7 linked regions of the Canis lupus familiaris genome follow. The protein of the gene in region 7 interacts with the protein of the main gene of each other region in a biochemical or structural test. Links are inferred from orthologs where the notes say so. Each region holds a gene or a part of one and is shown on either strand. Other genes may lie near its edges.

What was found.
Region 1: the proteins of CUL3 (region 7) and KLHL20 form a complex in vitro, tested with the Homo sapiens proteins (2 studies listed by BioGRID and IntAct). The link is inferred for Canis lupus familiaris from reciprocal best matches to the Homo sapiens genes CUL3 and KLHL20.
Region 2: the proteins of CUL3 (region 7) and DCUN1D4 form a complex in vitro, tested with the Homo sapiens proteins (2 studies listed by BioGRID, with this or other methods). The link is inferred for Canis lupus familiaris from reciprocal best matches to the Homo sapiens genes CUL3 and DCUN1D4.
Region 3: the proteins of CUL3 (region 7) and UBE2M form a complex in vitro, tested with the Homo sapiens proteins (2 studies listed by BioGRID, with this or other methods). The link is inferred for Canis lupus familiaris from reciprocal best matches to the Homo sapiens genes CUL3 and UBE2M.
Region 4: the proteins of CUL3 (region 7) and PEF1 form a complex in vitro, tested with the Homo sapiens proteins (2 studies listed by BioGRID). The link is inferred for Canis lupus familiaris from reciprocal best matches to the Homo sapiens genes CUL3 and PEF1.
Region 5: the proteins of CUL3 (region 7) and DCUN1D3 form a complex in vitro, tested with the Homo sapiens proteins (3 studies listed by BioGRID, with this or other methods). The link is inferred for Canis lupus familiaris from reciprocal best matches to the Homo sapiens genes CUL3 and DCUN1D3.
Region 6: the proteins of CUL3 (region 7) and DCUN1D5 form a complex in vitro, tested with the Homo sapiens proteins (2 studies listed by BioGRID, with this or other methods). The link is inferred for Canis lupus familiaris from reciprocal best matches to the Homo sapiens genes CUL3 and DCUN1D5.

Annotation. Positions count from the first base shown.
Region 1 is NC_049228.1:25,329,466-25,333,197, reverse strand, and holds part of KLHL20 (kelch-like protein 20), read left to right. Parts: intron 1-238; coding exon 239-447; intron 448-2,155; coding exon 2,156-2,262; intron 2,263-3,732. UniProt on the Homo sapiens protein: Substrate-specific adapter of a BCR (BTB-CUL3-RBX1) E3 ubiquitin-protein ligase complex involved in interferon response and anterograde Golgi to endosome transport.
Region 2 is NC_049234.1:45,540,011-45,543,742, forward strand, and holds part of DCUN1D4 (DCN1-like protein 4), read left to right. Parts: coding exon of another isoform or gene 1-3; exon of another isoform or gene 4-35; intron 36-466; coding exon of another isoform or gene 467-486; exon of another isoform or gene 487-523; intron 524-570; exon of another isoform or gene 571-595; intron 596-2,751; coding exon 2,752-2,866; intron 2,867-3,732. UniProt on the Homo sapiens protein: Contributes to the neddylation of all cullins by transferring NEDD8 from N-terminally acetylated NEDD8-conjugating E2s enzyme to different cullin C-terminal domain-RBX complexes which are necessary for the activation of cullin-RING E3 ubiquitin ligases (CRLs).
Region 3 is NC_049222.1:100,126,273-100,130,431, forward strand, and holds the start of UBE2M (NEDD8-conjugating enzyme Ubc12), read left to right. Parts: upstream 1-1,149; 5' UTR 1,150-1,696; coding exon 1,697-1,805; intron 1,806-2,997; coding exon 2,998-3,092; intron 3,093-3,224; coding exon 3,225-3,263; intron 3,264-3,373; coding exon 3,374-3,477; intron 3,478-3,736; coding exon 3,737-3,800; intron 3,801-3,886; coding exon 3,887-4,027; 3' UTR 4,028-4,159.
Region 4 is NC_049223.1:68,860,919-68,865,277, reverse strand, and holds the start of PEF1 (peflin), read right to left. Parts: upstream 2,884-4,359; 5' UTR 2,758-2,883; coding exon 2,734-2,757; intron 2,208-2,733; exon of another isoform or gene 1,917-2,207; intron 1-1,916. UniProt on the Homo sapiens protein: Calcium-binding protein that acts as an adapter that bridges unrelated proteins or stabilizes weak protein-protein complexes in response to calcium.
Region 5 is NC_049227.1:24,694,667-24,698,987, forward strand, and holds the start of DCUN1D3 (DCN1-like protein 3), read left to right. Parts: upstream 1-1,493; 5' UTR 1,494-1,583; coding exon of another isoform or gene 1,584-1,749; exon of another isoform or gene 1,750-1,891; intron 1,892-2,103; exon of another isoform or gene 2,104-2,295; intron 2,296-2,425; exon of another isoform or gene 2,426-2,593; intron 2,594-4,321. Other genes in the region: LYRM1 (LYR motif-containing protein 1), read right to left, coding at 1,632-1,749. UniProt on the Homo sapiens protein: Contributes to the neddylation of all cullins by transferring NEDD8 from N-terminally acetylated NEDD8-conjugating E2s enzyme to different cullin C-terminal domain-RBX complexes and may play a role in the cell cycle progression by regulating the SCF ubiquitin E3 ligase complex, after UV damage.
Region 6 is NC_049226.1:28,886,672-28,890,403, forward strand, and holds part of DCUN1D5 (DCN1-like protein 5), read left to right. Parts: intron 1-1,414; coding exon 1,415-1,485; intron 1,486-1,892; coding exon 1,893-1,984; intron 1,985-3,732. UniProt on the Homo sapiens protein: Contributes to the neddylation of all cullins by transferring NEDD8 from N-terminally acetylated NEDD8-conjugating E2s enzyme to different cullin C-terminal domain-RBX complexes which is necessary for the activation of cullin-RING E3 ubiquitin ligases (CRLs).
Region 7 is NC_049246.1:38,009,219-38,013,746, forward strand, and holds the start of CUL3 (cullin-3), read right to left. Parts: upstream 2,892-4,528; 5' UTR 2,877-2,891; coding exon 2,805-2,876; exon of another isoform or gene 2,636-2,804; intron 2,625-2,635; exon of another isoform or gene 2,604-2,624; intron 1-2,603. UniProt on the Homo sapiens protein: Core component of multiple cullin-RING-based BCR (BTB-CUL3-RBX1) E3 ubiquitin-protein ligase complexes which mediate the ubiquitination and subsequent proteasomal degradation of target proteins.

The sequences.
Region 1 (3,732 bases), on a different chromosome or scaffold from region 7:
AACTATACTAAGGTACCTTGACTCCAACACATGCCCTTTCCACCATACTGTACCCAGATGAAACCATTAGCCCCAATAAGATTATAGTGGTATTATCCAAAGGTACACAAGTCCTCATAAGCAAAAATCAGATTGTGTATTGAAAATATGTATTATCACAAAGTTTTAATGGCTATTAGGAAAACTAGTTAGAAGAAATGGCTGAATGGTCACTTACTGGTTTTTTTTCCCCCTGCAGTGGAGCGCTACAATCCTCAGGAAAACAGATGGCACACCATAGCTCCTATGGGGACCCGGAGGAAACATCTAGGCTGTGCAGTGTATCAGGACATGATCTATGCCGTAGGAGGTAGAGATGATACTACAGAGCTGAGCAGCGCTGAGAGATACAACCCCAGAACTAACCAGTGGTCTCCCGTGGTGGCTATGACATCCCGCCGTAGTGGAGTAAGTGCCCAGCTACTGAAAACTTTGGGAAAAGAACAACAAGAGAGGGCTATGCAGGAGAGCTCTGATCTTAAAATACTGGTACAGTAAGGAGATGCACTGTTTAGGCAAAACAACCCCTAGCTACTTTTGTACTGGAAAAAATTAATTTCTTATAATTGCTGTTATCTCAAGTACTTAAATACCTTCTATTCAATCATATCTTTAATAATAGAATTATTTTTTGTGATTTATCTTTCATTGATTGTTTCCCTGAAAAACATTATCTTTCCACTACCTTATCTAACTTCACCCATATTCATCCCTCTCAATTAGAGCTAAATGTTCTGAACTAATGTTCCTAGGTAATATTCTAAGTAGTTGGCACACCAATACAGATGTTTAGGCAGAAACACATCTGGCCCCACCACCAGTCTTCACAAACTGGTATGGGTCTGTCCCATCTGTAGTTTAGACCTGGCCAGGCTGACCTATGTCATGTTCTAGACCGTGGATGACTTGTGACCACAAGAGACTTCTAGGGTGGAGTATAGCATTCATCCATCCTAGGACATTTGGTTTGTAGTGAAATGTAACCCATAAACCACTGATTGTGTCAGGAATCCATTGATGTAGAACAACAGGTGGGAGAATGCAGCAGTAGCTAAAAGACTCCATTATCTGAGGATAAAAAGGAATCAATTTTGGTGTGCACAAATCAGAGAATATCACTGATAGGCATCAGCAAGTCAAAACATTCCCATATCTATGGTTTGCTATTACTGGTGATGAACAGCTTCTAGGTCACATTCCTGTTGTTTTCACTGCTACATTCGTATTATTTAGCAAATATTTATGAAGTTCTTACTGTGTGCTTGGAAAGCAAAAGTGAGTACAACTCCGCAAGGAGCTCCCAAGTTAGTGGAGGAAATGGAAATGTTTACAGAAAATGATAAAAACAAAAAAGAAACGGTTGCATGTGCATTGTAAGAGAACATGGGAGGATATGCTTAATGTATTTGGGGGCAGTGAAGAAACTTACCAGAAAAAGTCAGATGTAAGCTAGGCCGTGAAAGAAAACTAAGATTTTCTAGAAGAGGGAAAGAAAACCAGGGACCAACATGTGCAAAAGTATGGAGGTATTACTAGTATAATCCTAATATGGTATTATTCCAATATCAGAAAAACATGGTATTTTCTGGGAAGAGCAGTTAAATCTGTATTCTTGCAGCATAGGGTACATAAGGAGGTGAGGCTAAAACATGGCCTAGGATGGATTTGTGGAGGGCCTGAATGACCTAGAAAGGACTTTAAACTTACCCATAGGTGGTAGGGAGGCTTAGCAATTTTTTAGAGGGAAGTGACAGCATGGTTAGGTTTGTATTTTAAACAGAATTTTAGTGGCAGTTTTAGATAGTGGGTTAGAATAGGCAAATACCAAAAGAAGTGAGAGCAGTTTGGAAGTTCTTGTCGGCTCCCAGTGATGCTTTTCCAAAAATTTAGAAATTTATGTTTTGAACTTTATAAATATTCTGATTGAATATATAATTTTATTGTTCCCACATATAATAGATTTTTGTCATTACTTTTTTTCCTCTGTTTTCAAGTAAGCCAGAATGTAAAGTCATAAAGAATTATCTTTTATTAAAAAGATTTATCTAGAAACTAGTTAAAATTTTCCCAGTGATCCTCTGGCTTCTTCAGTGGCCACTGTGTTTTGGTCCTGTAGGTTGGCCTTGCAGTAGTGAACGGACAGCTCATGGCTGTAGGAGGCTTTGATGGCACAACGTACTTGAAGACCATTGAAGTTTTTGATCCTGACGCCAATACATGGAGGTAACCTTTAAGCTACATTGCAGATCACCTCACTGCTGACTTGAAAATCATGGGAATAAGGTAGCCCATGACCTTAAAAATTGGGATGGTCATACATTGAGAAGTGCTTTTGCAATACTCGTAAGAGAGCTCCAAGTTACCCATATTTGATGGCTTATTTTGAATTCTTTGCTCTAAAGTGGCTGACATTTTACATCTTCTCTTTGGTAACTGTTCAGTTTTATAATAGAGATGGCAAGCAGAAAAAAATAATTTCCTTTCTAGCCTCATCATGTTCAGCTGAGGAAAGTAAGGCACTGAGAAATAAAATGAAGCAAGTTAGTCATAGAATTAGAACTTAGATTTCTTGCTTCTAATCTGTCACAATTTATGATGTTCTTAGTGGCAGCTTTATGCACAGGAAAAAAAATTGTAGATACTTTTTTTTTTAATAATAGTTTATTTCATTTTAAAATCATTGTTTTCCTTGAGTTTTTAAAATGTATTTAAATATATTATTTTCTCTTTTAAAGTCCAAGTTGGTTAAGCATCCTATTCTTGCTTGGTCTCAGCTCAGGTCTTGATCTCAGGGTTGTGAGTTCAAGCTCCTCATTGGGCTCCATGCTGGGCAGGGAGCCTACCTAAAGAAAGAGAAAAAAAGTCTACTAAATTTTAACAGTCACTTCTAGGAAGAAATCTACCTCTCATTTAAGAGGCTTAACTATGTTAAACTATATTTATAGGTTTAATTTTACTTTGCTTTTAAATTCTTGTCTTAACAATCTTAACAAATCTTTCCTAAGTGCTTAAGTGGTTCTTATAAATTCACATAAATCATGTTACTCATGCATTTAAGTATTCAAAAACTGAGGCACCTGGATGGCTCTGTCAGTCAAGCATCTGCCTTTGCTCAGGTCATGATCTCAGGGTCCTGGGATCGAGCTATGCCTTGGGCTCCCTGCTCAGTGGGGAGTCTGCTTTTCCCTCCCCCAGTACTCCCTCTCCATGCTCATGCTGTTTATATATATATATATATCAAATAAAGAAATCTCTAAAAATAAATAAGTGGAGGCACCTGACCTGGCTGGCTGGCCCAGGTCATGATCTTGGGGTCCTGGGATTAAGCCTCCATGTCAGGCTCCACACTTGGTGGGGAGTCTCTCCCCTCTTTACCACCCCCCTTCCCTGGCTCATGCTCTCTCTCTCTCTCTCTCTCTAATAATACAATCTTTAAAAAAAATACAGTCTTCATGTCTGGGAAAGCCACACTTTTACAGATGTTTAAATGGTGTTCTTTGGATTCTGCCTTTGGCTCATGGCTCTGTATGACTACCAAGTCACAATACTAAAGTCAGACTAGAAGTCAGACATTGGACACTTTTGGCTTCTACTAGATTACATTTTCACAACCTTGTTCACTAAGTAAAGATTTACTAAGTGTTCTAGACATCAGAGATACCACAGTGAACAAAAACTAAATCCCCTGCCCTC
Region 2 (3,732 bases), on a different chromosome or scaffold from region 7:
TGACGGCCGCTTAGGTTGCTTCCTTATCAGCTGTTGTAAGTAAAGTCGAACACACGTAGAAATGCAAATATTATTTCCCAGTTCGTGTTTTTGTCCTCCTTGGGTTTACTGGATCATCGGGTATCACCAGTTTCCATTTTTTTTTTTTGAGGCACCCCTGTACGGTCTTCCAGGGTGGCTGCACCAGTTTGGGCTCCCGCCCGTGGTGCGCGAGGGCTCCCGGGTCCCACGTCCTCGCCGGCACCTGGTCTCCTCGTGGACAGCGGGGGGGTGGTGGTGGGGGCCTGCCGGCTGGGGGCCCTGCTGCTGCATCGTGCACACCCCACCCCGCAGCATCCAGGGACAAGAATTTTTTTTTTTTTTTTTTTTTTTTTTGCAAAAGCTTGAGTCACTCTGACACTCTTTGGACCGTTTTGTATGCTTTAGGGTTGTTTATAAACAGGCCCATTTTTCTTTTTTTTTAAAGATTTATTTATTTATCCATGAGAGACAGAGAGAGAGGCAGAGACACAGGCAGAGGGAGAAGCAGGCTCCACGCAGGGATCCCGACGTGGGACTCAATCCCGGGACCCCAGGATCACGCTCTGGGCCGAAGGCAGGTGCTAAACCGCTGAGCCCCCCAGGGGTCCCCTGAATAGGACTGTTTTGCAGGGAAGATGGGGCGCATGTGGTGTGGGCAGTGCTTCCCCCCCTTCCTCTCCCGGTCACTCCTGCCGCCGTGGGGCTGCGGGTGCCTTGGGCCTGTGTCTCCCATCCTCGGCAGGATGGGGCCTGGTGGGGACCTGGAGAGGGGCGGCCGAGGGTCGCTTCTGTGCTGAGGGGGGAGGCGGGACGGTGGCGGCACAGGCTCCATCACGCGGTGCAGGACACCTGCCCAGGTCGGGCTCTGGCCCTGGTCTGTGGCCCGAAAGGTGCGGCTGCACATTCCTGGCTCCTGAAGTTCGTCGGTCACCCCGGGCACCCGATGGTGGCCCTTCCCGGGGTCCTGACCGTGAGCTACTGACTGTGCCGTCCCCGGCCTCGGAGCAGACTTCCAGAAGGGCCGTCGGGGCATGGGCCTCAGGCCTCTGCTCCTGCTCCGTCACCATCTGTTGCCGCTCGCCGCCCTCCCCAGCCTTCCTCTCCCGGCTCTCGGCCCGGCAGCATGGGGATGCCACCACCGTGGGGTCCGGCCTGGCCCTGGCCGCACCCTGCCTCCCCCCTGCCCCATCCCCAGCGTTGGTCCTCACGCAGGGCTTGGCGCCCAAGCTCTTATCGGGTGTTTGTCTCCGTAAAACTCCTGAGCGGGGGACACATCAGTGGTGGAGGGCGCGACCCCGGGGTCCCGGGATCGAGTCCCACTTCGGGCTCCCCGCGGGGAGCCTGCTCACCTCTGCCTGGGTCTCGGCCTCTCTCTGTGTGTGTCTCATGAGTAAATAAATAAAAGCTTACAAAAAAAAACCCTGAGAAGGAGGTATCCCAGTTCTTACTCTTTAAATGATGAACTAGACCCGGTCGGTGACTGACCAAGCCCCCTAGTTGGGTGAAGGGCTAGAGCTGATGCATTGAATGCGGATCGTTCAGACACCAGCACCCTTTTGCTCTCTCGTCCTCTGACTCCCTGAGAGCCCAGGGCCTTCCGGGAACGGGCTGCTGGAAGGAGGAGAGAGACGGGGGTCCAGAATTCGTCCCTAGACACTTTTGGGGCCTTTGGAAAATCACTTGGATGCCCAGGCTTTGGTTTTCCCCATCTGTCCCGTACAGATAATTATCCCTGTCCTGCCTGGCTTTCGGGGTTATTGTGGGACCCAAATGGCATATGTGATAACGCCTGTGCCAGGATGGGCACATTTTAATGATCTTATAATTGTTTCGTAATTTGTAAGGGTTTTAGACCGTCGGAAGCAGGGACTACCTGGGTTTGAATTAAAGTTTTGCCTAACCTCTCCCTGCCCTGCCCCTATTCTCTGATCGGCATAGGCAGTCCCAATACTTCTCTTTTCATAAGCCTGGTAGGAGGTTAACAAGTGACGACATGGTATAAGTGTTGGGAATGGGCCTGGCTCCCAGGGAGGTCTCTGTAAGTGCTCCTTGCTGGGATTGTCGGTTGTTACTACACGTGAACATCTTTCACCCAATGAAAGTCATGCTTCTGAAAATCCTGGCGGAAAGTGGCAGAAATGGATGAAAAATTATTATGGAAATTTTGTTCAAGATCATAGCAGACTGCTGTGCAAAAAAATCTAAATCCTGTTTTTCTTTTTGTTGTTGTTTTTTGTTTTTTAAGATCAGATATCTCTCGAAACTTAGAGAAGAGTATTGGGGCTGATGTGCTTGTTTGTATTTTAGAGTCAAGGTGACTGGCTGACCTGGCCTTGCCTGATGACATACACAAAGGAGATAGCGGTGCGGTTCCTTTGGAAGGAACATTGCCACGTAAAAGACACTGGAAGCTCTGATGATTTATATTAGTGTTTTTGGAGAGTAAATGGAAATTGTGATTACTTCCGTTTCTCATGTGGTTTTAGTGGGGGGAGTATTGACTTGTGTCGTTGCAAGGTTTATTTCTTGACTGTAACATTTTCTCAAAGAGGAACTAAACCCCCCCTTTTTTTTTTTTTTTTTTTTTTTTACCTTAGAACATTTACGGAGACCATCTAACCCCTTAACACTACAGGCCATGAACATTTTTTAATTTGGCGGGTGGGATGCTCTGGGAATGCTGGGCTGTGGCTAACCCTGCCGTTGTGCCCCATGGCTCTCTGTCCCCAGGAAGCCTGCGGTCTTGCAGCTCTTCAGACTGCTTTAGTAAAGTGATGCCGCCGAGGAAAAAGAGGAGACCTGCCTCCGGAGATGACTTATCCGCCAAGAAAAGTAGACACGATGGGTATGTCGCAGAGACAGTAGATCAAACTCGGTGACGTGTATCAAAGAATTTGAATTAACATTTTCAAAGTGTAGTTACCTTGTGATGTTTCTTTTACGTGTGGGTTTATAAAACAAAAACCAAATTAGGTAAGTCGAGTTCTTAGAAATTGAAGTTTTCTCTCAGTCCGTTGATCCACCAAAACTGGTGTAGAGTTTCTTTCTTTCCTTTTAAGGGCTTGTCGTCTGTGCCTGTTGAGGACCACCGGGTCGGTACGTATCTGTTCTCTACGAGGGTCTCACTTACCACACACAACCACAGGGCCGAGTGCTTGCTTCCGCAGGGGACCTGGGCCGAGAGGCTGGGGAGCACTGCGGCAGCTGGAAGCTCTCAGTCTGCTTGGAGTGTTAGCCGAGCAGAGCTTGAGGCTCAGATGAGTGAGACTTTGCTAGAAACGGTGAAAAAGGAGACTGTGTAAACCACTTCTCTTTCAGACAAGGGAACTGCTTAATTTTGGTGACTCTAAAAGTCATTTGACTTATTTATTTTAGGTATCTTTATTAGATCACCTTGATTTTCATGAGTCATTTTTTCTCTTCTCTCTCTCTTTCTCTCTCTCTCTTTTTTTTTTTTTTTTAAGACAATAAACAGACATCGTAACTTCAATCTTTTCTGCCTTTTTTCCATTTTCCTCCATTCTGGCTCTGTAGGTTACCTCACTAATGGGCCTGAATATTCACATCTAAAAATCAAAGGGATGAGATAAGATTTTTCTGTTTCTTTCTTGCTGTGATACCTAATCTGCCCCAGCTAGGTTGGAAGGATAAGATGGACTCCGACAATGTGAAAGTGGTGTCAACTCTTCATATCCCAGATGAGTAGAAAAT
Region 3 (4,159 bases), on a different chromosome or scaffold from region 7:
AGACACGGCTGCGATCAGTCCGTGGAGCCCAGGGACCTCAGTGGTACCCGAAGACCCACAGGGTAGGGCCTCTAAGGAGGCTAGGGCCAGCCCAAGATACGAAAAGGTGGAGGTGACTTCCTGAAGCGAGGATACGTGTCGAGATGGACGCCAGGTCGGGTCTGAGGAGGCGCAGGGCATGGAACGGCCACTCCCCCGAGGGGAGGACTGCGAGCCTGGGCAGAGGTCGACGGCTGAGAGGACCCCGTGAGCACCCCTGCCCAGCCCCAGCGCTGGCTCAACCGGACCGCCAAAACTACTTGTTCCACAACGCTCCAGGTGATGACGGCAGGTGGCCTCAGAGACAGACGGGGACGTACAGCGGGAGCCGCACTGGGTCGCAGAGGTGCTGAGAGACTGAGCACCGGCCGCACCCACCCACTGAGCGCGGTGCCGCGCTGCACACCCGCCCGACCGTTTCCATGGCGACAGCCGGACGTCATAGAACCGCCCCACGCCGCGTCCTCCCGCCCTCCGAGGCACGCTGAGCTGTGTGCGATCGTTGTGGAGGCTGGCCACACAGCGGAAGATCGCAAAGCGTGTCCGCTGGGTCTCGGGACCTGCTCCGAGAGGGTCCCCGCCCCACGTCCCATCTAGTGTCCACCCATGTAATCTCCCAAAGTGCTTACCACTAGCACAATACGCGTTTTATTTACTAGTTTACCTCATCCAGAATCTCCGCGAGCCAGTTGCTTTTGCGATGGGACATCGAGGTTGCTCGACCCCGCACTCTCTGAGTAAAGGCTATGGCCTCTCCGGGCTCTGGCCCGCCGTGATCACCTTGCCTCTGTGACCTCCAGGGGCAAGGACCTCATGTGACCCACCCCCACCACAATCTGCAAGGGTGGGCTGCCTACGAAGTGACCATCAACTGCCCTACTTAAAGATGGCGGTGGCACCGCCATTGACTGGACCCGCGAGCGTCCCCGGAAATGACCGCGGGACAGGCGGCACAAACGGAAATACCCGAGTCCAGCCGAAAAAGTCCGAATATTAAGACCTATTGCTGAGCAACGCGGGGCGGGGGTGGCGGCGGCCGTGGCGGCGGCGGCGGCAGCGGCGGCGGCCGCGGCGGCCGCGGCGGCTGCTGCTTCTGCGCAGGCGCATAGCGCAGGCCGGGCGAGAAGAGCCGAAGAGTGCAAGCGGCGGAAATATCCGAAGCGGTGGGGCGCCCGAGGCCGTTGCGGACCTCTGCGCCGAAGCCGCTGCTGCCGCGGAAGCCGAGCCTTTCTAGTACACGGCAGCCGCCACCGCGGCCGCCGCCTCCTCCTTCCCCTCGAGCCGCAGCCCCTCGCGGTGGGAGCAAGTGAACAGACAAGCGGCGCGGCCGCAGCTGGGCCTGAGGGGACCTAAGCTGGCGAGGGGGAGGAGGAAGCGGCTGGCTGGGGGCGGGGCCGAGCGGGCCCGAGAATAGCCGAGTCGGCCCGAGCGCCGCCGAGCGAGCCCGAGGCGCCGGGCCAGGCCAGAGCCGGACTACGGGAGCCGACGCGGGCCGCGCGGTGGGCGCGGAGCGGCGCGGCAGGCCGGGCGGGCGGCAGCAGCAGCGGAGGAGGCCGCGAAGGCGGGTTCGAGTGGCGGAGGCGGCGCAGGCGGCGGCAGGGGGCCGGGTGGCCGGGGTCCCGGGCCCCGCAGCGGCGGCAGCGGCGGCGGCGGCAGGATGATCAAGCTGTTCTCGCTGAAGCAGCAGAAGAAGGAGGAGGAGTCGGCGGGCGGCACCAAGGGCAGCAGCAAGAAGGCGTCGGCTGCGCAGCTGCGGATCCAGAAGGGTAGGGGGTCGGGGGATGGGGGTGGGGGTCGGAAGTCAGCGGCTGGGATGGGGTGATGTAGGAGTCTGGAGTGAGTTAATGCAGTCACCGGGGGGTCAGAGATGTCAGAGATGTGGCCGCAAATGTGGAGGTAGGAGGTTAGGGCCTGGGTTTCGGTGTGATGGGGGATCAGGGGTGAGTAATGCAGTCACCGAGGGGTCAGAGATGGGGGGCCGAATGTGGGGCACTTACAAGACTCGGAAAGCCAGGCATCTTGCATTGGGGACCAAGAATCAGAGAGTCAGGCAATGGAAGGCGAGTAGGAACCTGGGGACTCCACAGAGTATGAGAACATGGGTGATAGGCAGAGGAGATTGGATAGTGGGGGCCAAGGATTGGAGATAGGAGTAGGAGAGGATTTAGTGAAGTATATTGGGGTCATTGGGAATCAGAGTGAGATGGAGTGAAGTAAGTTTTGGGCACTGCGATTTGTGGGTCTGGGGGGGTCACATGGCAATTTGGGGTTTGGGGTGACACGTGGAGGAGGGAAGAACAGTGTGTGCTGGGGACTGGAGATGGGGGTAGGGTTAATTTAGACTAACATGCTGGGTGCTGGGAATCTTAGAGGCAATGTTTAGAGGGGGTACAGGAATGGGAATTCACATGTCTGAGGGTTGGATGGGTACCTGAATTTAGGATGACAAGCAGAGGAGAGGAGGGATGGTGGGGACGGCATTGGTTAGGGGCAGGGTCCTTGGATTTGGGTGGTCAGGTGGGGACCAGCAGTGTCTACTAGAAAATGGAGGTCATGGCCGGGGATCCTGGTGTTTGGGGTAGTTGTAGGCTCTTGGGGGGCCACACAGGGGTGGGAGTATTTGGGGGCTGGGGGGTTGGGTACGCAGCTGCTGGACGCTGAGACTTTAGGCTGTGGATTCGGAAGAGTTGGAACTTATCCCGGGCCGGGAGCTAGAGCATAACCACAGTTTACAATTCATGTTTGAGTTGTGCTGTGGATCTAGAAGAGCCTGCCTGGAGACTAGAAAGCAGAAAGAGTAGGGAGAGGGTTGGGGGTGTGGGGCACAGCCCAGGACAGAGCCCTGAGGGTCCTGGAGGAGGCCATGGGTGCTCTCCTGGCACCTGCACCTCCGAATGCCCTTGTCTTTCCATCTCCCTTTCCCTCTCATCGTTCCCCTTCTTTGCTATGCAAACCCAGACATAAACGAGCTAAACCTGCCCAAGACGTGTGACATCAGCTTCTCAGATCCAGACGATCTCCTCAACTTCAAGCTGGTTATCTGTCCTGATGAGGTAAGGGTACACTTAGTTGGACTCTGAGGCATGGGCCAAGGGGTCTGGGAGAGCACTTTGAGTTGGGAGACTTAGTTTACCTGCCAGGCGCTGCAGGATGATGTCCTAACACTTTCTTCTTTCTCTTTGCAGGGCTTCTACAAGAGTGGGAAGTTTGTATTCAGTTTTAAGGTGAGTCCCAGGTGGGCAGGGATACCTCCGTGGCTGAGGAGGCAACAGCTGAGGCCCCAGCCAGGCACTGCTGGGGCACTTTTCTATCTTCTCTCCCTTCTTGGAGCCAGGTGGGCCAGGGTTACCCACATGACCCCCCCAAGGTGAAGTGTGAGACGATGGTCTATCACCCCAACATTGACCTTGAGGGCAATGTCTGCCTCAACATCCTCAGGTGAGGGCTGTGACTTTGGATTGCACAAGTCTCTGTCCCTTCCTTCCCTATTGTGGTCTGTGGTCCTCTGTCTTCATCTCCATGTTTTCTTCCTCAAGTCTTGACCTTAGCTTTCTCCCTGGCCTGTCCTGCTGTGCGCCCTCCTCCTAGCCTCTCACATCTGCACTGTCCCGTGCCCTGGAGCTGACTTGTTCAGTCCCAGCAGGCTCTGTGTTGGCCATCCACTCACCAGCCCCTGACCTTGATTCTCCCTCCACAGAGAGGACTGGAAGCCAGTCCTTACGATAAACTCCATAATTTATGGCCTGCAGTATCTCTTCTTGGTGAGTAGGGGTAGGTGGGGAAGGCTGGGGAAGGTTGGCCCTTTCTGCTTTAAGGGCCTGTTGACCCCCACCTATACCGGCCACAGGAGCCCAACCCCGAAGACCCACTGAACAAGGAGGCCGCCGAGGTCCTGCAGAACAACCGGCGGCTGTTTGAGCAGAATGTGCAGCGCTCCATGCGGGGTGGCTATATCGGCTCCACCTACTTCGAGCGCTGCCTGAAATAGGGTTTGCGCACACCCACCCCTGCCAGGGCCACCAGCCCCGGCGTCCCCTGCAAATATTTATTGGGGGCCACAGGTGGGGGGCATGGGTGGCCGGTGGGGGAATCCCATGCCCTGACCTTGCCTCCCCTCCCT
Region 4 (4,359 bases), on a different chromosome or scaffold from region 7:
TATCATTAAAAAAAAAAAAAAAAAATTAAAAATAAATAAATAAATAAATAAATAAATAACAAATAAAACCACCAGGTATTTTGTTGGAATACCTTGGACCAGGAGTTGGACAGGTGGACAGGGTATGATGGGGGGGATAAAAGCATTTCTTCTATTCTAGACACTGTTCTCTCCATGCTCTTTTTCAGAATTTCACTCTGAGCAGAAGCCCAGGCCATGTGGCCTAACAGTGATCCCAGCAGCAAGAGCCACCACCAGGCACTGGCACACACTTGGTATCAGCACAGTGCCAAGCTCACTGCAAGCTTTATCACAGTTTGTCTTCATTTCAGCCCTATGAAGTATTATTCCTCCCTTCTTAAAGGTGAGCAAACTGATGGTCAGAGCCCTTAGATGGTTTGTCCAAGGGCATATAACTATTAAGTGCTAGAATTAGGATTCTAGCCCAGTTGTATCCAACCTGGAAGCTTAGGCTCTTAATTTCCATGTTACTGCCTCTAAGATGCTTACAAAATACCTCCAGAAACTTATTAAGATGTAGATTCCTGGGCCCTTCCTGGGTATGGAATAGGTCTGAGGTAGAACCCAAAAGTGTGCCTTTTTATTTTATTTTATTTTATTTTATTTGAGAGAAAGAGAAAGAGAGAGAGAGAGAGAAAGGAGAGAGCATAGCAGGCAGGTACAGAGGGGAAGGGAGAGAGAATCCCAAGCAATCTCTGTGCAGAGTGCAGAACCTGATGCAGGGCTCAATCTCACAACCCTGAGATCATGACCTGAGCTGACACCAGGTCAGATGCTCAGTTGACTGTGTCACCCAGGTATCCCCAAAGGTGTGCTTTCTAAACAAACTTCCTGGTGATTCTGACACAGACCATCCACTAAAAAACAACGCACCATAGCAATGTTTTCCCAAACTGTGTTCCCCCAAGATAGTAGCTGTACCAAAAAATGACCAGAAATTTTTTAAAAAGGGGAGTTGGGAGTGGGAGGTAGTTCCACAGTTAAATAAGTTTAAAAATACTGCATATTCTATCCCTCAATGGCAGATTTACAAAAGCATATTGACAAATTAAGAATTCTGAGATGCCCCGTGTTGAACAAACTTATTCACGGAGTATTTCATGGAGTATCTCCCAAACTTATTTAACCACAGAATCCTCCTCTATTAGCAATACCTATTAACATTTCGTAAGACCCAACCAATGGAATGGAGCTTTGGAAGCCCTGCTAGATTATACTTCCTCTTAACATCAGCTTTTTTTTTCTACCTCTGCTAAAAATGCAACGAAAAGGAGCAAGCCACTTAACCTCTTTGGGCTCCTTCCTCAGCAATAACCTTGGGACAATAATCTCTGCTAGCATGCTTACAGGACCTTCATCACTGAGATTAAAAAGGTTCAAATACTGTGTACAAAAGCCATACAGGGCTGTACTCCCTCACCTCTCTTTTGGCATGGGACTATACTCAGTTGATCGCTAATATCCCATATAATTTTATTTTCCAATTTTCCCTGCATGGGTTTTTAAATATTTAATTTATTTATTCATGAGAGACACAGAGAGGCAGAGACCCAGGCAGAGAGAGAAGCAGGCCCCATGCAGGGAGCCCGACCTGGGACTCAATCCCAGGTCTCCAGGATCACACCCTGAGCCAAAGGCAGACAGACGTTCAACCACTGAGCCACCCAGGCATCCCCCCTGCATGGGTTTTACCTCCTAAATTAGTATGATCTTGGGCAACTCAGGAGCCTCTCTGGGCTTCAGTTTCTTAAAATAAAGGGACTATTTTGAGGACCCTCCTGGCACTGACCTAGGAGTCTTAAAAAAAAAAAAAAATCCAAATACTAAAATACTGTTAGACTCTTAGAAGTACCAAATGCTTTACAAGCATGACAGCTTGCTATTCACGACAGCTCTCTCAAGTAGACCCTATTTATTGGGCCCTATTTTATGGACGGGGAAACAGGCTCACAGAAGCAAAATACCTTGCTTAACGGCTCCTAACTATTTAAGAGGTGGGGCCAAGGGGTGAACCTGCTGACTCCAGGCTGAACTTAACCACTCTACCGATCCGTCATCCAACAGAGGCTTCTGGTCACAGAATCCCCTGGCTGTGGTGCTCTTGGCTGGATCGAAATGGGCTGGGGAGGGGGTAAGAGGCCTGTGCCGACAGCTTCCGGGTTCCGCTGCCCGCCCGGGGGCCTCGGGTAAGTTCTGCGTCTTCTCTGGGTTTCACTGTTCCCATGCATGAAACGGAGGGGTCAGCCTAAACGAGCAAGGTCACTCGTGGGACCCGCAGAAGCGGGTCAATCAAGATTCTCCCGATTCTTCGCACGCAGTACGTCAGGGGTGTATTTTTATCCGACGCCCCGAACGTGGCAGGCGCAACCAGTTGTCTCAGTTCTGCTGGCGCGGGTGAGCCCGTCGGCAGCCCCCCGGGAGCCCCGAGGAGGTAATCAGAGCCTCGCCTGATTACGTGGGGTCCAAGGTCCCCAAATCCTCACGGGCGCGACGTCAGAGGGGGCGCGACGCAACCTCCCAGACCCGCAGTCCTGCGTGACGTGAGACAGGCGCGACCGAGCAGCCTTTCGCCTTCCCTGGCGCGCGAGACCTCGCCGACGCCGGCCTCCGCGTAGGAAGGGCGCGGAGAACGCCCGGACAAGGCGAGGCGGCGCCTGGGCCTGGACTCGGCGAAGCCCCTACCTGGAATCGCCCGCCCCCCCGCACACTCACCTGCCCGTACGGGTAGCTGGCCATGGCGACTCGACGTCACACGTCGGCGAGGGGCGGGGCTTCCCGGCCCTAAGCCTGCCCCGCCCGGGCCGGGGGTGGGCCCGCTTGTGATTGGGTGGCCGCCGCCGTCAATCCTGGACGCCGGGACCGACGGAAGTGACGTTCTAGGGCGGTGGTCGGGTGCCTGGGGAGAGGCCGGGGTGCTAAGGAAGGCGTGAGGGTTTCCGGAAACCCTGCCAGCCTGCGGGCGGGGCCGTTCTTCCCTTTCCTGCCCTGGCGTGGGCTCCGGGGCTGCTCAGGCCCGGGTATTCAGCGAGAAACTGGAGTCGGGTGTTGCGGCGGTGGCCATGTTTTAACCTGGCAAATGGGGCGCCTGGTAGCGGGTGCCTTGCAGTCGTCACGGGAAGTTTCCGCCCGCGCCCGCCGGAGGAGGGCCCGGGCGGTTGCCGTGACGACCGGAACAGACAGAGGCCTCCTGGACAGGGGGGAGGCAACGGCGGGAGTACCTCGCTCTAATGTCAGGACACCACGTGCCAGTTAGTAGCTTTGGAGTGAGACCCGTGGTCTTTGGGGAGGAAAACCCCCGGCCACCAGAGTGGGAGGAAAATTAGATCATCTGGGCTCTCTTCGTAAAACAGCGATACTGTGGTCCGGAGAGGCAGCGACTTGCCCTGGTTCACAGTGGGCGGGGGCAGAGGTGGCCTAGAGCTGCTGTCAGTGGTTACCGGGTTCTCAGCGGGGAGGTCTGGACTGTTCCCCCAAGTCAGTCCAGTTCTGTCACTGAGTGACCACGTAGAGTCATGTACTTGCTTGCTCGTGGTTCAGGCTCTGCACTTGTTTGCATGCTTACTTGACTAAGGGGTTAAGCTCTTACACGTGGGCATAGGTATGTGGTTTTTCTTGTCCTATCCCATGTACCTAGGAGAGTGCCTGGCACGGTTTTGTTTTGTTTTGTTTTTTTTAATCGATAAGTGAATAAGGTGTTACGAGGTGTTATCCATTCCAGACCATCTATCTATCTATCTAGCCAGGCACTTTCCAAAATCACTGTGCTCATCATGCTACCTGCTGGCTGGACAGAGGCTACAACGACTCCATCTGCACCTACAAAAAAGGCCCAACGTCTTCATTCTGGCCCTCGAGACCTTTCACATATGACCCAACTTCACCTTGGCATTTGGTATTGTTACTGTGCTATATTCCAGCCAGCCTCATGTAAGGGTTCTCTTTGTTATTTTCCTCAAAACGTATTCCCCTCTTTTATCCCAGAAAATTCACCCAGTCTCTCAGGCCAAAACCTAAGACTGTTCTAGTGTGGCCTCTGTCTCTCCAAATGTTTTCCCACCTCCATTTGCTCGACTTCAAAAGTAGACCCACATCTGCTCTTTTCTCCCTGTTTGCGCTATCACTGTAGTCCAAGACTCTGTCATGTGTGGCCTGGATCATTGCAGTAGCCTCCCAATCAATGTCCCTGCTTTTGTTCTTTCTCCTATTTTCTTCATGGAGCAGCCAAAATGCTTGTCTTAAATGTAGATTGGGTCATGTCATTCCTGGGTTTACTTTCCTTCCCATAACTCTTAAATAAAATCTAAACTCAGCCTTCTGACCTTCATGGCCTTGCCTGTA
Region 5 (4,321 bases), on a different chromosome or scaffold from region 7:
TATCCTTTCTAGATTTTACGAGATTAACCATATCTAGATTGTGGCTGACAGTTGGCAGCAGCAGTGGGACAAAAGCCCCTTTGTTAGAGTTGTTGAAGTCCATGGCTGCTATCTTATGAATAGTGTTCCTACCTAGCCATAACTACACAGTGGGCCCTATGGGCAAAGCTCTGTACCAGGAGCCAGAAGGACGCAAAGAAGAAATAGCCCGTGGGGGAGTCAGACATATGAACAATTAACAAGCAAAGTCAGCCTTGCTGTAATGGACACAAATCACCTGCGCACAAGTCCAAAAGCACTGACAGCTGGGGTTGGAAGGGAAGGAAGAGATTTGAGCCAGGGCTTAGAGGATGAATAGAAGCTGGATAGTGGGTGGATGAGTCTCACTGATTATGAGAGTCTCATTATTGCGGGATATTAAGGGAGCCTTCTTTTATCTCTGAGGCCTTATCTGTGTCAAGGGTCTCCTTTCAATTGTTTTCCCCTTAGGAGTCATCCTTGGTCCCTCCTCCTCCCGTACACTTCACTACCCAATCCAGCAGCAAGTCTTGCAAGCTCTATTTCCAAAATGCATTCCGAATTTAATAATCTGCATTTCCACTGCCACTACCCATCTCTCCCTGGGCCTGGGGCAGCAGCCTCCTAACAGGTCTGACAACTTTCTACCCTACTCTAGCCAGCAGCCGAGTGATTTTTTTTTTTTTTTTAATGTAAATCAGGTCACTCCCCTTCTCAAAACCCTCAGGTAACACAACAGCCAAACCTTAACCTTGGGCATTTAGCTGTGCATGATCAGGCCCTCCCACTTCTCCATCACAGACCACTCCAGCCCGTGTTCTTTCAGTTCCAGCCACCTGGCTTTCCCGCCGTTTCCCTCCTCAGGACCCTTCCTGTTGGCTCTCTTCTCCATCTAGAAAAGTCCACTCCCTAGCTTCTCTCCTTTCACGCATCTCCGTGGAACTCTGGCCTTATCTGAAAAGCCTCACCCCACCTGGAGTGGCCTTCCTCCCACCTCCTACCGCTTCACACCCCGTATTATGGTCTTAGGGGGGCATGTCGTACTTGCTGATATCTCCTTACTGACTGACATTTTAACTTTCTCCCGGACTCCAATAAACAGTCACGGAGCAAGGCCTCCGTCTCGTTCTCGTTCGCGGACCGAAGCCGTTTAAGAAGCAGGTTCTCACTACCGTCCTAGGAAGCCTCCGTGGCCTCTACGGGACCTCGTTTGGGTCAACCTTCCCCAGCTTGACGCCTCTCGCCCCCGGAATTGCCCCTACTGATCTCACATTTACATTCGGGGATCCAAAGGATTCAGGAAAAGTCTCTGTTGGGCCCCAAACCGGCATCTCAGCTGTTCGCCAAACAGGCCTCCGCTTCCTGGCCCTCGGGCCGCTTCCCCCGGCGGGGTCCCGAGGCCGGTGGCGAGGACAGAGAGCCGCCCTCGCGAGGCTGGGGTCACACAAGCGCGTCTCCTAGCAACGTCGCACCCCCGCCCCCAGCCCATCCCTGCCCCTGGGGAGTCAACCCCTTCCCCCAAGTCTCCCGCGCCAGGAGTCAGCGTCTCCATCCCCTACACTCACTCTGCGTCAGGCCTGCCTTCCCCCACCCACAGAAGCGCCGCAGCCTACCGCGGGCTAGGAGGAGGCGGCGCCGGGAGCCTTGCTGAGCCGCGGCCGACGCTGGTCGGGCAGGTCCGGTAGGCCAGGCCGGACTAAACCACCGGGGGGGGGCCCTCCGTGGAACCATTAGTTCCAGGTCAGGGATGGTCTCAAGTCTCCCTGAAACTTCATACTCTAGCCCACCCTCCGCCGTATACCCAACAGTATAGCCAACTTCATCGTCTCCCTAGTTTCTCTTTACCCCTTTTCGCTATCCTCCCCCACCCCCACTCTAGCCAAAAAATGATCCAGTCCAACTCCTCCCAGCCCTCCCTCCGCGTCGCTAGTTCTTTGCCCTTACTTGGCGACGGCTTCGTACGTCCGTGCGTACGTCGTGACGCAATCTTCCACCCGTTCCTCCCCGCCCCTCTTCTATTCTCTCCCTCCCGGAGCGGGCGGCCTGCGGGGTTACCGGAAGTGATGATGCAGGAGGCGATGGAGGGGGCGGGGCTTGGGGGCGGCCGCCGCCGGTGGGCCGCAGATGAAGAGGAGGCGGCGGCAGTGGTGGAAGAAGAGGCGGCGGCGGCGCGGGTAGGGATCCTGGAAACGCGAGCGGGGATGGTAGGTGGTTTGGACCCGCCGGGCCGCCGTCGTTTCCAGAAAGGGTTTGACTGGAGGAACCTCTGGAGCAGCTGTGAGTTTTGGGGGGGGGTTAAGGAAAAGCGGGGAGCATTGAGAGATGAAGGGGCGGGGGTTGGGTACCTTCGAGAAAAGGGGGTGGAAGGGGAGGAGTGGAAATCAGCGCCTTGTCTGGACTGGTCCTTTTGGAAGAAGAGGCTGTGAGGGGAGCCTGTGGCGTGTCAGCTGCAGGGCGCAAGAAAACTTGCCTACTGTCCCTGCCTCGCCACCGCCAGCACCCCTCAACCCAGGCCTGGGGATCTGGGGGCTGGAACAGCCCTGGAGAGGGTGTCGACTCTGGTCCTATGGCCCGGGTAAGCTCTGTGAGGTAGGAGTCCAAGCGGGAGGTGGTGGGTGAATCTCCGGCTCCCTCCTCCCTCATTTTCCTCCCCACCCCCATCCTTCCCTTTAATCATTAACAGCCCTGGAATTAAGGGGCTCAGACCTGAAGGCCTTTCTGTGCACCTTTGCTATAAACGATAACCATCTGTGCCTGAGGTAATGGGGCTGGAAGCTTTGCCTGTATCCTGTGTAGGAAGTGGGACGGGGTGACAATGTATTGTTTTTTATTTTTTTCCATTCCCCTTTCCCCCTTATCTTTCCTCATATACACCCCTCGTTTCCACCTCAGTTCTCTGTGGCTACGTGGTAATCCTGGTGTTTTTTTTTTTTTTTTTCTTTTCCTTTATGGCACTTGGTACCTTGGTTACCTCTTTTGAATTTGGTGTTCAGCCTCTCCCAGATCTTCCTGCAAGCTTTGTAATACTTCAGTTACAGGCTATGTCACATTGGGAGTACCTCTCAATGCCTGGTAGCTCCAAATTAAGATGAGCATTTTCTCCTATGAATACTGGGATTCCAAAGCCCTTGCAAGGATTCCTAAATGGCATCATAGCCCAGGAATCAAAGTCTCTTGTTCTAAATACTTTGTGTGTGAGGAATTTACATGTTGTCAACTCTTTCCAAAATGATTTGATGTTAGGCTAATTCTGGATTTCTGTGTTTCTCTCCACCCACACTTCATGATGCACTTCAGAGAACAGAAAACCCCATATTACTTTTTTGTTTCTGCAATTGGACAATAGCTCTTTTATCTTTTTCTCTATTCACACAAGTCTTCAGTGACACTTTTGGCTTGTGCTGATTTCTGTCTTATGCTCTCATTTATTTAGCTGATTCTTTGTGTATAGACGGACTTAAATGAGAAAATGTGATTTGTTTAAAAAAAAAAGTACAAACCAATAACAAAAATTATTTGAAGAAAGCAGAGAATGACTGGAAAGAAGATCTCTATTGATGTTCTGTGGGTTTCAAAAAAAAAAAAAAGTCACCAAGTAGTCCTCTTTTAGCTTGTTGTAGGAATTTCAGAGTGAAATGTAATGGTTCCTATTTTGATGTTGATATTTTCTTTGGTAGTCCTCTGTTGAATGCGGAACTGTGTTTTCTGAAGAGCTTTAAGAAATAGTGCCTACATTTTAGAGGTCCTTTGGTTAGAAAGTGTCCATAACTCCTGGGCCTCTATAACTGAATTTATGATGCGTATTGCTAGAAGAATTATAACGGATCCCATCCTACTCATCAGGGCTTTCAGGCCTGATAAAACGATGTTTAATGCTTTGATTATACAAGTAACAACATCATGTTTAGATGTTTCACAGAACTGTAACAAAAGAAAAGAATGAGTACTATTCTCACCTTAATTGATTTGGAACCATTGAATATAAAGTCAAAAATTCATTCATTCAACAAGCATTATTGATTAGCTAGTAAGAGCTAGCCAGTATTTTGGGCTGTGGTTGACAAAGGTGAATGCAGGCATAAGGTCTGAACTCTTATGGCGCTTATACTGTAGTGTGTGGGGCAGAATAAATAAGCGAATCAGACTTTGCTAAGTGCTGAAGTACAGGGATATGACAAAACATGTCTAATCGGGATGCAGTCAAAGAAGACCTTTTTAAGGAGGTGACCCTTAAGTTGAGCTTTGAATAAAAAGAAGCCGGACATGCAGATATATGGGAGGAGCCTTCCAGGTTCCTGGGACT
Region 6 (3,732 bases), on a different chromosome or scaffold from region 7:
GACTTGGCCACCAGTTTCAGTCTTTTTTTTTTTCAAGTGAGATATGACATTAGTTATGAAACTTCTATTAAAATACATAGTTACACATTTTTTTCTTGTGATAAAACTTTTAAGATCTACTCTCTTAGCAACTTTAAAATACAACGATACAGTATTATTAACTGTGGTCATCATGTGGTACATTACATCCCAGGATTTATATATTTTATAACTAGAAGTTTGTACCTTATGACCACCCTTCACCCATTTTTTCCTACTCCCCATCCCTGCCTCTGGCAACCACCAGTCTGTTCTCTGTATTTAAGAGCTTGGGTTTTCTTGCATGTTTGTTTGTATATTCCACATATACGTTACAATTGTATGTTACTTGCCACTGACTTTTTTAGCTTAGCAGAATGCTCTCAGAGTCCATTCATGGTGTCTCAAATTTGTTGTAATCTTACCGAGTTAGGAAAGGGACCTAGCAATGATGTAATTACTGTCTTTTGGGAATCTGATAACATAAAATATGAGAATTGGTGTATTGACTTATATTTAGTGTTAAGGGAGAAAAATAAGAAACAAGATAAGTATCACTAATTTTTGGACAAGCTAATTGAGGGATTAAACTTCTGTTTCTGGGCAGCCCAGCGGTTTAGCACCGCCTTCAGCCCAGGGTGTGATCCTGGATACCCGGGATTAAGTCCCACATCGGGCTCCCTGAATGGAGCCTGCTTCTCCCTCTGCCTGTGTCTCTGCCTCTCTCTCCCTCTCTGTGTCTGTCATGAATAAATAAATAAAATATTTTAAGAAAATAATAATAAACTTCTGTTTCTGTATTAAGGTGGAATATCTAATGCTTTACTATCTATTTTAGATCCAAGGTGACAAGGGAAATAGTAATTTCTCTGAGTTATTTATTTTCAAAATATTTGTATCTTTTTAAAGTATTAAATTTTATTTGGTTGTATTCACAAGGGTAATAAATGACCTTATGTTTTAGCAAGAAAACGAGTATTCTCTGATTACTGTCTTGAATTGTGGGCTGTTCGTACACATTCTAGTAAAATTTCTCGTGGTTCTTTGTATTTATGCATTGCCAAAAATTTTCTTCAGAGAAGGCTCTCCGTAAATGTTTTTTTTTTTTTTAAAGGATGGGTTCAAGTTACTGTACAAACAAGTGACTGATATGAATGCTACTTCATTTTTTTCCCTTAATTTCATTTTGTAAAGTGTGTAAAGAATATTTCAGAAATTTTACATTTTAAGTCATATATCAAATATTTATACCTTTATAAAAAATGTGTCAAAATTCAGATTTAGTTATTTAAAAAATTTTTATGGTGTGTTCATAGATGCCTTTAGTGCAATAGCTTATGTTTTATGTTGATATTAATATAACAATAAAATATGTAAATTATTTTTGTCTTTGAAGGTCCTGATGAAGTTGTAGGGCCAGAAGGAATGGAAAAATTTTGTGAAGACATTGGTGTTGAACCTGAAAATGTATGTTTTATTTCTAAGAATGGAGTATAAGTGGGGTATAGCATATTTACATATTTCTAAAAATCGAGACACTTTAATCTTATATCAGAATTTTGTTTCTTCATGTTTAATACTGTAAATTGTCATTTTCAGTATTTGTAACCAATTTAAGTTGGGCACATGTTCTCTTTCTTGATACAAATGTTATTTGTAATAGAGTGAGAGAGATTCTACCTTCAGAAACTTAGAGCTTTATACTTTTAAGAAATTGGCCCATCTAAATTTCTTTAGAGTTAATAATGCCAGAGGTTGTACTCTTTAATAGTTGGAAGATGGAAATAGTTGTATAAAAATGCTCTCCATGATAAATACAGACATGATTATCTCTGCTGACTTTTCCCCTATCCTTTATGTTCTGTTCTTTCCAGATTATTATGTTAGTTTTAGCGTGGAAATTGGAGGCTGAAAGCATGGGATTTTTTACCAAGGAAGAATGGTTAAAAGGGATGACTTCATTACAGTAAGACATTTTTTTAAAAAACAAATTTGATGGCCTATTTGAAGATCTTAATTGATATTTTGTGCTTCGTAATTTTTAGGAGTAAGGTTTCACCTTAATCAAATTGGTTTGATCTATAACAGTTAGGGATTGACAAAATTTATATTGTGGTCTTGGCAGAATGAATAGTTACCCCATTTTTCATAATCTTGAATAATCTTTGTACAGTCTTACAAAGATTATTGACTTGAGTGAATTAGAGGTCTGTGATCAAAGTGATTTGTTCACAGATTGAGCAAATGATTTCTTTCTCTGAATACAGAGTTCTGCTGTGTAAGGAGTTTGTTCTTTGGGCAGACCTAAGCTCTGGGGCCTCTTCTCTTCAATTTTATGCTTCATTTTGAAAAGGTATTTGAAGATAGAGTTACATGGCACTTCTTTTTTATTTCTTTTTTGCCAAATGAATCTTATGAAGAACAAAAGCAGAAAGGTTGTATGGCAGCCCTGCAACCCTTAGCCATGTTCTAGTTAATACTTTCAGATGCTGCCTTTGAAACTCTGATAAGTTACAGAATTGCTCCTTTACAAAAATAATTTGATTTTTACTTTGCATAGTAAAGTGTGCTTAGTTTCAGAATCAGTTAGTAATTATGTATTATTTTTAAATTATGTTCCTAATGTTCATGCAGGATGTTACTAATTACCAAGATTCTAAAATAGAGGAAGCATTAATTTATAATACTTTTGAGCTGAAACCTGGGGGTCAATTAGCCATGTGGTTTCCTGTTGTGGTTATGCTTTTATTAACACATTTAGCTATTCTTTACTACTTGTTTGCATGTCCTTACATTTCAGAATACCTCAAGATATTCTTTTAAGTGCATCTGTTCATATGGAACTTGAATTTTTATATTTGAATTTTCAGCATGTAATGCTTTGTAATTCTCCTTTTTAACCAGAATTAACATAATAGATATTTTAAATAGATTCACATAAAAACTTTTGCTTATATGAGCCAAATTATAATTTCTAGAATAGAACATAAAATCAACCCTGTCATTTCAGTCATTTTTTATAGGTGAGAGAAGGGGTCAGACTCAGATAGGTGAAGAAAATGTTTACCCAGGTTCACATAGCTATTTAGTGGCTGAGCTAGGACATAGAATTTATATTTCCAGATTACCAGTCTAGCATACTGTACTTCCTGTTATTTTTCTTTATATATGTTAGCAATCTTTATAAAATAAAGGACTATTATTAACTTTTTGAATCATAGTATTTATAGCCTAACCAGGCTTGAATTCTGTCATTCATCTAGGTGTCATAATATACCAGATTAAAATGATATTGATTCTGAAATTCTTTGGAAATATCCAACCCTCAGTTAGCTTTTTAGAGAATGATAAAATGTACAGACAAGTATGCAAAGAATATAAACTAGTTCATATACAGCTTTGTACGTTTTATTAAAATTTATATCTGTTGTAACATGGCTTATTCATTGTAAGACATTTTATTTGGCACTATAATTGCTTTTTTGTACTGCTGCTGAATTTTTTGTATACTGCTTTTTTGAACATCCCAGCTAACAAGTGTGTGTGAATTTTTTTTTTTTTTAAGATTTTATTTATTTATTTGACAGCGTGTGCACAAGCAGGGGGAGCAGCAGGCAGGAGGGGGAGGGAAAGGGAGAAGCAGGCTTCCTGCCTAGTGGGCAGCCCCACGTGGAGCTCATCCCAGGATCCTGGGATCATGACCTAAGCTGAAGG
Region 7 (4,528 bases):
TACTCCATAGTTTCTGTATGCTAGAGAATGGTAAGTAAATATAGTTAATTCCCCACCCTGTTTGATTTCCAGGACTATTATTCAGACTATTATTCAGCTTTCCTGTATATAGTCCAGGTAATCCTAGGCAACTGTTACTTTCTCTAAGGAAATCTATTATGAAGATCAAAGCTGTTTTTTCCCAAATCTAGCAAATTTTACCACAGCTAGGAAAAACAAAATTAAGTGTCCCCAATTACCATTAAACTCTTGTGTTCTTAAGTACATCACAAATGATCTTAAAATTCATCTCCTTCTATTGTCATCCACTCTGTGGTTTCCCTCTAACAATAACCTCTACATGACTCACTGTCCATGCTACACAGGTAGAGCTCCAAGAAGCCAATCTAGGATTATGGAGTGGACATCACAACCAGAGATTCTTCATCATGACTATGCTCTATAATAACTGAAACCACTTCCAGATCACACACTTCTAAAGACCATCACTTTCATAATATGACTTCTAAACTCTGAAGGCTAAGTCAAGAAGGGACTATCAGAAGAGAGAGGAGCATTTTCATTCAAATATATCCCCTCCAATCCAATCAAGTTTTTTCAAGCCCATGTGGACAAAACCCATGTGGAAAGTACAGATGGAGAGGAATGGCTTTTCGAAGATAAAGGACAAAAGGTTCACCTGACAGCAACTAATTCTACATAGCAGAACAAAAGAAAAGCTCAGGAGTGAGACATTCAACAACAGCAAGGAAAGAAGAGCAGAAACTTCTTGGGGCAGCACTCTGATCCAAATCCATATAGCTTCCAAGAGTTTCGCAACTACAGCTTCCTTCCTTAAAAAAAAAATTTTGCCCCTTGCTGTTAATTTTGGGTACCAAAAAAAAAAAGTGAAATGACATATTTTGTGCAGTGTAGGAAAGCTTTCAGGCTGGGATAAACTTTAACTCCATCAACAATTTATGAATCCATAAAGTCCTCACTGTTTTCCATCTTAAAAAAGAACTAATTTCTCTTAAAATCTTACGAAAAGTTCTACTTAAAATGCAAATTGTAGATAAAACTGTGGTATGGCATAACTTACTCTTGGGAACAATAATGAAGGAACACTTAAAATATGTACTCAAAACACTAAAAGAACCTGATTTTACTGATGGGTCTGTATCTGGAATATGCTTACACATCTTATAGAATAGCCTGTGAGTTCACTTACCACTCTGTTTTGCAATGAAAACAAAACAATCTCAAAACATATTTTTACACTTTTTACACGTCGATTTTATAAAACAGAATCCTGAAATGAGCACCTGAGACCTTTGGTTAAACTATAATTTTCTTAAACTACAGTACCTACAATGCATGTCCAAAGATTAATACAAAATACTATATAGCTATAAATATTGTACATCTGTACCACATACAAACGCTATTTTTTCTTTATGGAACAGTATGCATTTACTACTAGAAGACTGCTAACCTGTAAGAAAAGAGAAATTTTGAAGGTCTATAAGGACTCATTTACCAAAGGGTAAGTCGGTGAAATATCATACCACTGAGGCATTTATCCAAGAAACTGTAACTTAGAAGTTTATAAATCAAAAAAAAATCTAGGTTCTTTTCAGTAGAAAGTTGTTACGAATATTATAAATCATGAAACATTGAAAAACTATGCTTTTAAAAATTAGCAGGTACTAAACTACTGAGTATCAAACAGTAGTCATTTATAAACTTCAATAAAGAATATTAGAAAATCTTAGATGGCAACAAGTTGTGGACAGAAAAGATCCAAATTAGCTCACAATCATTAACACACACACACAAAAAAAAAAATCAGTTTCAGGACTATGTGCTAACCTATCATATACTATACTCTTTTGCTAAAGGAATCATGAAATTCTTTCCTGCCTCTCCCAATAATAAATACAACATCCAGAAAGAAGGGATCTTTAGTCTTCAAGCTGTATTGACTTACTCCAAGCTCCTAGAACAGTGCCTGGCACACAGTACTCAGTCTTCATTAAACGAATGAGGGAATGAAGACCAGGTAGGAAGAGGTAAACCTAAATGGACGAAAAAGCTAATCACGCTTAAAGGTACAACTGGTTAATCGCAATATTAACAAAAGTGAGTTCATGTCAAATGTGAGCTATGCCGCATTATAGTAGTAAGTTTGAGTTAGAAGAACTCAGACTTCAAGAATAGCAAATTTTTCCTAGAAAACTTGTTATACAGAAAACTATTTGAAACTCTTAATAATTCGAAATCCTGCTAAACATGTTCACAACTGCTTTAGTAGCAAAACTAACATTACTCAAAAATTCCTAAGCCCAGCTCACTTCACTGTTAAGAGAAAACATGCTGACAGACTTCATTAGTTCTCTTCTGCATTAGTGTCTTCCCTCACTGCAAATCACACTTCAGAAAAAAGCAAGCCTTCCCACAGTGAATACAAACCCCACCTTTTCCCCCTTCCCAAAATATGACGTGTGTAGGATTCTAAGACATTCAAGATCTTTCCCCAGTTTTACTGTTGTTTTTTTTTTTTAAAAAAACAAAAAAAACAAAACCTTCCGTTCGACTGCTGGTTTGCCTTTCTTGACATATACCTGTTACCGTAGCGACGTGAGGCAAGAACGTCCAGTTTCTGTTACAACAGTACACTTTAATTGCTTGCCATGGGCTATCTGAATCAGGTATGGCATCCCAAGTTACACTCTCTACACTAAATAATGCCAGCGTATGACTCAACGTAACGCTAAAAAAGAAAGTTTCTAAACAGAGCAGCCTTTGCTGTCGCTGAAACCCACAGCGTAGAGCAACTCGGGGCAGTGACGACCCCCTCCTGCTGGGCTTCCACGGCTAAGATCTGGAGAGGCCATTGTCCAGCGTGTGTTCTCTGGCTTCCCCTTGACCCTCCTACAAGTGGCGAGGCCAATTCCTGCACAAGAAGAGTTTGTAAAGTGCTTTTGGACGCCTGTGGATGAAAGAGGCTATAAATACAGCTGACGAGGTTAGGTGCGTGCGTTACTACCGAGCAGTGCAAGGAGCCACGGTCACTGCGTCGGGGGGCGGGTAGGTGGGCGGCCAGCCCCCTTCCTGCGGAGGCACAGGACAGCCCCCTCCACCCCCCGAAAGGTCTGGCGGGCCCTGGTTGAGGCCGGGTTATTTTTGAGACCGCACGTGAAAAGTTCCACACACGCCCCCCCACACACGGAAGACTTCCACAGTCCCCGTCCCCGCGGGTGTGGTGGTCCCGGGGCGCCGGCAGGGAGGGGAGCACCGGGGGCCGGGCCTACCCCCCGGGAACGTGGGAAGGGGCCGGCCCAGGGGCCCCCGCCGCAGCCGCAGCAGCCGCCGCCCGCCCGCCCGCCGCCGCCGGCCCGAGGCTCCCGGGCGGGTGCGCGGCGCCGGCCTGAGGCGCCGGGGCCCCCGAGCCGCCCGCCCCGTGGCCGGGAAGGCTCGCGCCCCGCGGCCGGCGGCGTGGGGGAGGGGAGGCCGGGCCTGCGGCCTGTTGGGGGAGTTCAGCCCGGGCCTCGCGTGCGGCTCTCCGCCGGGCCCCCCGGCCCCGGGGTCCCAGGCGCCGAGGAGAGACTCACCGGAAAGGCCCGGATCCGCATCTTGGTGTCCTTCCGGCTGCCCGTGCCTTTGCTCAGATTCGACATGGTGCTCGTCCCCTCCCCGGCGGCGGCTTCGGGTCGCACTCCGAGGCGCCGGTGTCACATTTAAGGCGGGCGGGCCGGCGAGGGGCTGCGCTGGGGGGCGGCGGCGGCGGCGGCGGCGGCGGCGCGGCCCCCGGGCTGGGCTGGGGAGCGGGCCGGCCCCTGGGCGGCCGCGGCGGCTCGGGCTCCGGCGGCTCGGGCTCGGGCTCGGGCTCGGGCTCGGGCTCGGGCTCGGGCTGCGGCGGGGCTGGGCTGGGGGGGCTGCGCTGGCGCGGCGCCTCCGCGGGGTCCCCCTCACGCCCGGCTCGGCTCCCTTTATCGCGCTCCTCCGCGATGGCGGCGGCGGCGGCGACGGACAAACATCTCACTGCGCAGGCCGAACGTCCTCCTCCTCCTTCTCCTCCTCCGCCTCGACGAGACGAGATCCGGCCCAGAGGGTGGAGGGGGGAGGAGGGAGGGAGGAGAGCCGGAGAGTGGAGAGATCGGGGGGAGGGGGTGGGAGGACGGGAGGGGGAGGCGGGCGGCCGCGGCGGCGGGGCGGGGCGGGGACGCCGAGATCTCGCGAGACGAGGGCGAGCGCGCTGCCCCGGGTGGGGCGGGGCGAAGCCTGAGAGCGGGCGGGGTCCGCGGGAGGGGAGGAGGGGAGCGGGGAGTTGGGGGAGTGGGCGTGGCCAGCGGGGCGGGGAGGTTGGGTGAGGGGCGGGGCTGAAGGCGGGAGGAGAAAGCTGCCTTTTTGAAAGGGGAGCGACGGCGGCGCGGAGGTGGTTGCTGATTGGTGGAGCGCGGCGCGGGGTGGGAGGGGTCCCGGTCACGTGGGCGGAGGGGGCGGGGCGAGTCCTGAGAGCCGGAGCCGGACGGTAGTGGGCTGGGCG